2 linked regions of the Danio rerio genome follow. The protein of the gene in region 1 purifies or fractionates together with the protein of each later gene. This does not show direct contact. Links are inferred from orthologs where the notes say so. Each region holds a gene or a part of one and is shown in the gene's direction. Other genes may lie near its edges. The genes, in order: med16 and cdk8.

What was found.
Region 2: the proteins of med16 (region 1) and cdk8 purify together in Homo sapiens (affinity purification with mass spectrometry; 10 studies listed by BioGRID and IntAct, counting the BioPlex papers as one, with this or other methods). This does not show direct contact. The link is inferred for Danio rerio from reciprocal best matches to the Homo sapiens genes MED16 and CDK8.

The regions. Positions count from the first base shown.
Region 1 is NC_133186.1:14,600,106-14,604,713, forward strand, and holds the start of med16 (mediator of RNA polymerase II transcription subunit 16), read left to right. Parts: upstream 1-1,587; 5' UTR 1,588-1,869; coding exon 1,870-2,011; coding exon of another isoform or gene 2,012-2,053; intron 2,054-2,190; coding exon 2,191-2,298; intron 2,299-4,608. UniProt on the Homo sapiens protein: Component of the Mediator complex, a coactivator involved in the regulated transcription of nearly all RNA polymerase II-dependent genes.
Region 2 is NC_133199.1:25,393,386-25,397,816, forward strand, and holds the start of cdk8 (cyclin-dependent kinase 8), read left to right. Parts: upstream 1-1,493; 5' UTR 1,494-1,818; coding exon 1,819-1,946; intron 1,947-4,431.

The DNA.
Region 1 (4,608 bases):
CTCAAGTCATTATTTGTGATTTTGAATCAGAATTTAAGCTTTACTTTCCCAGGGATGGGTTGCGGCTGGAAGGGCATCCGCTGCGTAAAACATATGCTGAATGAGTTGGCGGTTCATTCCGCTGTGGCAAACACCATATTAATAAAGGGACTAAGCTGAAAAGAAAATGAATGAATGAGTTGCTTTACTGAAAAATGATAAGCTGTTAGCTGTAAATATTGCCATGTTTTCATTTGATGTGCGTATTATGGAAATAATAATAAGCAAAACAATCTAAATTTGAATTGTGTTAATTTGAATTAGACAATTGTAATTTAATAAATCTGAATTTTTATATGCCGTTAAAAATTGTTTTGAATTTCTTAGTTTGAATTTTCTAACTTGAATATTGAAATGTAAGACAACTGAATTTTTCAAGGCGGAATTTTTTATAGACATATTCTCAAACGTTTGATTTTTTGTGTTAAAATATTACAGTAGGCTATTTTTTGACTGAAATGCATTGAAATCAAAATGTCCAATGGGTGGCGCTAAATCTCTCTTTGTCACTGAATTGTTCATTCACATTCGTTATTTAGACCATATATATATATATATATATATATATATATATATATATATATATATATATATATATATATATATATATATATAGATATATATATATATATATATATATATATATATATATATATATATATATATATATATATATATATATATATATATATATATATATTTCCAGCCCTGAATTTCACAATCTGAATTTCTGGTTTTGAATTTTATGATATTGATTTGGATGTTCTAAATTTCTTCATCTTGAAAATTTGAAACTGTATTTTCACAAACTTAATATCTACAGTCTATGAACTCAGAACACAAACAAATCAGGCTTGAAAAGTTCTTGCATTTCAGATGTTCAATACTCAAGTTATGAAATTCAAATTCAAATGAAGAAAATCAAATTTAAAAGATTTTTAATGTCATAAAAAAATCTGATTTTTAAAATTAAAATTGTTAATAATTCAAATGAATACAATTCAAATTGTGATTGTTTTGGCACATTATTAGCTCTGTACGTCAAACCCTTTCTGAGACACACACACACACACACACACGCACGCACGCACGCACGCACGCACGCACACACACACACACACACATACACACACACACACACACAGAGAGAGAGACTTAAAAGGTTAACTTAAACATATAAATTAAATTATAAAAATGTATAAACAAAAATAAAACGTTTATATAAAAAAAGAGAAAAATAATATATAAATAGCGTACATACATACATACATACATACATACATAGATACATACATACATACATACATACATACATACATACATACATACATACATACATACATACATACATACATACATACATAAAAGCATAGGAACAAAAAAGCCTTTTGTTAATAAATAATGCATAACCATGCATGAGTAAACATTTTTGTTAACGCTTTTATGCTTCAAAAGTAACGTAGATAGACAAATACAGAAATAGATCGGAGCTCCAGCCCAATAGGGGGTGGTAAGTATTAGATGAGTCTTTGAATCCGGAAAGAGTCGACGAATACAGGCGCTCAATGATGTGATGTGCAGCTTCAAAGTGCTATTTGCTGAATTAGAATAGATTTGAAACGCCAGAACAATTTATATTATTAACAAATTAATTTATGTTCGGACTTATTAGCAGGAGCATGTAGTTTTGAGTCTGCCATACCCATCATTTTCTTCTGTTTCTGTACAGTAGCGGTGTTTGCTTTTGTTGTCTCCCGTAGTGATTGTGAACACATTCAAAGGTGTTCATTTGGGGCATCTGTGCTGTAAACAGTAAGTTTCCTTCATTATATGATGGATATCGCATATGTTTGCGAGTGGGAGAAGAGACCCAAGAGCAACCACTGTCCTTCAATCCCTCTGGTGTGCGCCTGGTCATGTAGAAACCTCATCGCTTTCACCACTGACCTGAAGAATGAGGAGGATGACAAAGGTCTGGACAATGCCTTTATTACCAATATTACCACTCCTGTTGGTGAGTTATGAATGGAGGACAAGAAACAACATACATTTTCAATTCGTTTTGGATCCAAAATACATAGAACAATGGTGTTTATTTATGATCAAGCATTATATCAGCAACAACAATCATGTTTTTTTTTTCTGTTGCAGATCTCAGTCATATGATACACATCATTGACACTGATCACCCCTGGGATGTGTACTCCATCAATTCTGGTCACAATGAGATAATTTCCTGCCTAGAATGGGATCAGTCTGGTCAGTCATCATGATGATAAAGATGAAATGGGCTAAACATTTGGCAATATGTGCAGATCATATTTGACAAGTTTTTTTTAGAAGTAAAGTTTCCATTTATTTTAGGTGGGTAGTCTCAGTATTGTAAGGGTAAGCCTAATTTTACTCGATTAATGTACTGCGATGGTCTTAAATCAGTACAGATTAGATACAGAATAATAAAATCTAATATAATATTTATTTTTATTATAGATTTTTTGTAATAATATAATTATTTTATAATTGACATTTGAATCATTTTAGAGTGTTAAAAACATTTGAAGAGAGACGCGTTTCAATGTAAAACCTAAATACTTTTCCAAATCAGGGTTTTTACCATTATCAAATACTAAAACTATTTAAAAAATCTGATAATAAAGAAAAAACTTGTATTAAATGAAAATTACAAATGTTGCTTTAGCAAGTAACAGAACAGAAAAAATATATATAATTTATTAAAATAAAAGTAAATCAAAAAGGCAAATAAAAAAATTATACTTTATATTATAACAAATGAAAACAGTAGTGCAAATAATACAATTGCTAAATTTAATATGAAGCAAAAAAGCCAAATCAAAGTATGAAGAAAAATAATAATAAAAAAGGTATATTCATTTTTATTTAATATTCATAAAACATTTATTAATTAAGTTGTTTATAAAATCAGTTTTAGGGATACTCCTAATAACTGATTAACCCGTTAACTTAAAGCAGGGGTGCCCAAACTCAGTTCTGGAGAGCCGGTGTCCTGCAGATTTTAGTAGGGATGGCTGACGTGAAACTGACGTTTCGACACAGTTTCGAGATCCCGAAGCACAAGTGTTTCGAAACACTGCACCGAAGCATGATCCGAAACACCCAATTCACGTGACTAAAGTGTTTCAAAACACCTGGACACGTGACTAAAATGATTCAAAGCAACAATCAGTTAAGAAGTGTTTCGAGACCTTGCGAATCTGGATGTAACTGCCGGCGTCAGTTTCAAAATCTGTCTCATATGGCCTGGTGGACTGTGCCTGTACACGCTGTTTTTATACTTCCAATGACTTTTGGGTTTGAATCCCGACTTGTACAAATACACCTAAATCATGGTTTTATGTATTTTAATCATGTTTCTGTTTTATGGTGTAGCCTAAATAGATTAAAGCTGAGGATACGCCATCAATATAGCATCATTTTTGTAACACTAAAACAATAATAAATATTTTTACAGTACTGTGATGGTTGGGTTTAGGGTTTGGATAGACGTTAATGAAATACAATAAATGGGAAATTTAATAAATAATATAAATAATTCTTGATACCTTCTGGCCACAACTGTGTCTGATCTAGCAACAACTCTGTTTTAATACCAAAACAAGACATATTTATTTACAAAGTGTTTATTCGGATGTCAGACCAATGTTGAAACAAAACGAAACAAGAACAAAGCATTACCAACTGGTATTAAAGCATTTCAAAAAAGCCGTATCAGCCTGGATTCAAACTCAATATCCCCACATGGAAGTCAGAAACCTTAACCGCTCCACTAAATCTCTTGAATAGATACTTTTACAAAGTGGGGTGTAATACCTCAATTTGCTAAAATGTTCTTGCTGAAGCTGTTTCAGTGCAATACATAAAAATGACCACTAGGTGGTCACCGTAGAGTGGGGTTTCAAAACATTTCGAAGCTTCGACACATTTGCTTCGACTGTTTGTTTCAGTGTTTCATGAAGCCTCGCTTTGCCCACCACTAGATTTTAGCTCCAACTTGCCTCAACACACCTGCATAGATGTTTATAGAAAGCCTTTAAAAAGCTTGATTAGATAGCCCAGGTGTGTCTGATTGGGTTGGAACTAAACTTTGCAGGACACCGGCCCTCCAGGATAGAGTTTGGGCATCCCTGTCTTAAAAGGTGCATTTTAATCTATTATTGGTATCAGTTAAATGATTAAAAATGTATTGTTTTTATTTTATTTAAGTTTGGCTGCATAAATGTGCAACACATATTTGCTTATTCGTGAGACAGTAACATGTGCAACTACATGTGCCCACAGACATATTTTGCCAAAAAAGCAAAATGAAAGAAGGATGATGCTGGTCACAGTTTGACACAGACAAGTCGATGCCAAAGCAGCACTGATGCTGATTGCTAAAAAATGTAGCGGAGCATTAATTAAATGCGGTTGTTATTATGTTTGCATGTTAAAATAAATCAGTATTTTAAAATGCAATATTAAATGTGTCGGACACAAAATAGACACGTCAATTGCTTTGTTTTAAATTAAATAGTAGTTTAATATTAATCT
Region 2 (4,431 bases), on another chromosome or scaffold:
AAATATGCCTGCCAATATACAGTATGTGTATATAAACTATTATACAACGAGTTACGTTTTAGTGTGTGTCTTCTGTAAATCATGATAGACTAAGTATAAATAATAGTCATCGCTTTTATTGTTTTGTTTTTGCTCAAAAGAAATATAGTTAAACATGACACATTCTGCTGTACAAAAATACAATTTAAAGCTGTATCACACTCATTGATTTGATGTTTGGAATGCCTTTTAGACTTTTTTCAAATTAGTATTTAGCTATTATTATTAAGATTACTACTAGTAGTAGTGGTAGCATCAGTAATAATAAAGTTATTATTAGGTTCTTTCTAAATATATTTAGGGTTTGCATCACAAAGATAATTTCATCTCAACTGATGATTTGATGTTTGGAAATGCCTTTTAGCCTTTTTTGCAAATTAGTATTAAGCTATTATTATTCTTTAAATTATTAGTAAGTAGTAGTATAGTAATATCAGTATTATTAAACTTATTATTAGGTTCTTTCTGCATATATTCATGGTTTGGATCACAAAGATAATTTCACTCCTAATGCAGAAAAATTTAATCATTATTTTACCATTTTTATGTAATTTTTTAAACAGTACGTTTTTGATTGAGGGTGCGTTTTATTTGCAATGATGTTTATATCTACCTTTGCAATTAAACATGATTTTTAAAAGTTACTTGCAATATGTTTTTTTCAATATTTGTTATATTGATTATGGTGAGGCAGTTTACATTATAATTACTATATGATAAATCAGCTTAGGGAAATTTTTAATTGTTTAATTATGCTGTTTTCAAATAGTCTATAAGACACTCTTATTGTCACTCTTATGTCCCCTTTGCTTCACATGCACCAACCACTGCACTAAGGTTCCACAGTGAATAATAAACATTGGTAAATAAGTACATTCAATCAGTACCCCACAAGAACACACATTACACCATTTATGGCTAGATATTGATGAAATATTACTTGTTGAGATTTATTAAATAATTTTTTTATTAATTAATTTGAACCTTTATTATTCAGGGGTCGCCACAGTGGAATGAACCAACAACTTATCCAGCATATGTTTTACATAGCAGACGCTCTTCCAGCCGCAACTCAACACCGGGAAAAACCCATATACTCATGCATTCATACACTTATACTACGGCCAATTTAGCTTTTTCAATTCAACTATAGTGCATGTATTCAGACTGTTGGGGAAGCTGGAGCACCTGGAGGAAACCCACATAAACATGGGGAGAACATGCAAAACAAATGTAGGGGGGCACATTTTATGATTGATTTATTACAAGGGACCCCAAGCACCCAAAAATAAGGGTAAACCATTTTTCCCTCCTAAAACTAAAAATCATGCCATAGAGGGTTAAAATGCAAAACATGCTATAAAACTGAAAAACAAATCCATTCCTAAACAAAGGGTTAAAATCCACGTGGTGCGCCACAAAGCCTCGACGTCTGTGGGCTTGGGAACGGTTTCACGACGCTTTGCGACACTGCCGTACGTGGACGCTCAACTCTCCCGGGTGAGATACCGGCTGAGCGGCGCAGTTGCACAGAAATATCAAAGAAAGCGACTGTTAGTCCAATAACACTCTGCACTTTGTGTCGGATCAAAAGCACACTCGCTCTACACGTCGTTTCAGCCGCCCGTGATCGCTCGCGGTAAATGAGGACTCTTTAATCGAGCTCAGAGCGACGCGAGGGAAGGCAACTAATTGTCTAAACGGGGCTTGAAGTAAGTTGCCTCCCCAGCGGCGCTTTAAAGGGAAGCCACAGCCCGGATCCCCAGAATCACGCCGAAAATGGACTATGACTTCAAAGTGAAGCTCACCGGGGAGAGAGAACGAGTCGAGGACCTCTTTGAGTACGAAGGATGTAAAGTTGGACGGGGGACTTATGGCCATGTGTACAAAGCGAAGAGGAAAGATGGGTGAGTTTTGCACGACGGACTTAAATGCAGCGATATGAGGCCTGCGCTCCCGTCGCGTTTTTGACCTCTGAAACACAACCAAAACACACCGAGCGCTTTTGCCCATTGGTTCGGGGTTTTAGAGAGACACGGCAGCTGATGTGAGATTGATATGCAGGGTTCACGGTTTAAACGCAGGCTTATTTTGAAGGGATTGTGGATGTACGTCAGCAGCAGCAGGCACAAGTGTTGTGATTGACGAGGCTGTGCTGTTGTGATGGGAACAGGTGCGGCTGATTTGTGGGTTTTTTCTTCGTGATGATGAAGACGAAGATACTTTTTACGAAGGCTTGTTTACACCGGTAAACCCGAAGCCTCAATGGAGCATTTCTGCTACAGATTGACTCCTGGTATTAGTGGCTCTGATGTTGATGCATGTTTTATGTCAGTGGTTCTCAAAGTGGGGTTCGCCGGACAATGACAGGGTGTCGCTTGCGGATTTCCAAAAGTCAAATAAATTTATTAAACTCTTACAGGATATCCGCAAAGTCTTAATTGTCAAAAGCAAAATTTTAGCCCCTAAACAGTCTTAAATCTACTGAAATGTTGTGTTTTGTAGGTCTCAAATCTATTTTAACAGGTCTTAATTTTCTTTGTTCATGTATAGTTAACCGATCTAGCCATTAACATCAATGCAATCACCAACAATCCACATCAATTAAACGTAAACTTTTAATTTAAAAATAGCATTTAATTACTTTCTTTACAGTAACATACATTTGATTAAAAGTTCTCCATTTATTTACTGCTGAGGATACTGACCTGGCCTACATATTTCTATTATTATTTATTACTATAGACTGAAGTAATTGACAGCTATGTTTTGTTCTGTTCTTGGTAAGGGTTATAGGGTTTGTGAATGGATAGATTTGACAATTAATACAAAAATAATAAAACACAATTATTATTATTGTATGTTTAAATGTATACAATTTTCATCATTTTTGATAGGGCTAGAGAAAATTTCATTCATAATGGTCTTAAAAATGTCTTAAAGTCTACAATTTAACTTGGTGAAACCTTCTATTAGAATTACCGTAATTAACCATAACCCACAGAAGATAAAAATAGTAGGTTATTGTTACATAAAAAAGCAACAACATGCAAATAAAAAGCCATCAGCCTTTTAATTTTTTCTTGTTGGATTGGTGCGTTTATTTTAGATGAACACAACAGTAATAGCATCAGCTGCAGCAGATTGATTTCATATCACCACCTTGATCTTGACATATCTCTGACTCTGACAATTTTGTGGCAATTGAATACATTAAAATATATACAGGCTACTGACAGGCTGGTCTCCAAAATTAAACCAAGAACAGACTTGTGCTTAAAAACACCGGTCTCATTAGGTGAGGTTAGTATTAAACACATTCATAAATGACCATATAAATTATAGCCTATGGTTGTTAGACTGTTGCAGTTTTTTGTGTTGTCAATATGCTCGTGTTTAACAAGGCCTATTGTTGTGTGTACAACGTTTGTATATTTATAACCACCTCCGATGAATCTGGGGATCATGAGCATTGAGGGAAAGTGTCAACTTGTTGTGACATGCTCCCTATAGTGTTTACCATCAAAATTTTAATATTCGGTCTGAAATCACATGCAATTATTACTTGAAAACAACATTAGCACTATTTATATGACTTTGAACAATGTTGTTTCTTGATAGTCTTTGGCTGCTAATATGATATTACCATTTAGATTTTGCAAAGAATATTTTTGTAAAATTATAATATTAAGGAGAAGTCAGAATGTGCGAATATAAAACCTACTTGACCTCAATGTTGCAGGCTTTGTTATTTTGGGGGACGCTGGCTGAAAAGTTTGGTAACCCCTGTTTTATGTAGATAAAATGTTGCATCATTGTGTTTGTCATGCAGAGAATTCGAAATAAGGTCATGTTTCACTAAAATGAAGTAGGTGATAGTTCCTAAAATAAAATTCTGCCATCGTTTACTCAACCTTTACTTGTTAGAAACATTTTTTTTCAGTTGCACACAAAAAGAAGATATTTTGAAACATGTTGGAAACCAATAGATTTTTTTCGTACTATTGATTATAAGTGTCTACGTTCTAGGCATGGGTCAGTATATTTTTCTGATGTATGATAAACTTGTATAAAAATAGCACAGTTTAAAAGTATTGTGATTACTGCTCTAAATATATTATTTTTAAATGTCTGGCTAAAAACTTTTTTCCCCTTTGAACACAATATATTTTAATTTGGGAAACATTTACAAGATTTATGAGCAGTAAACAAATCAGGGTAAATAATTCAAATCAATTATTGACTTCCAGGGATGCTTCTATCAGGATTTTTGCAGCCATTACAGTGAACCAATTCTGATGCTTCAAGATTTATATTGCATAAAGCACATTTTCCCTCTAAATTTGGTCCTTACCTAAGAGAATAAATTAAGGAGGCAGCATATAATCCCTT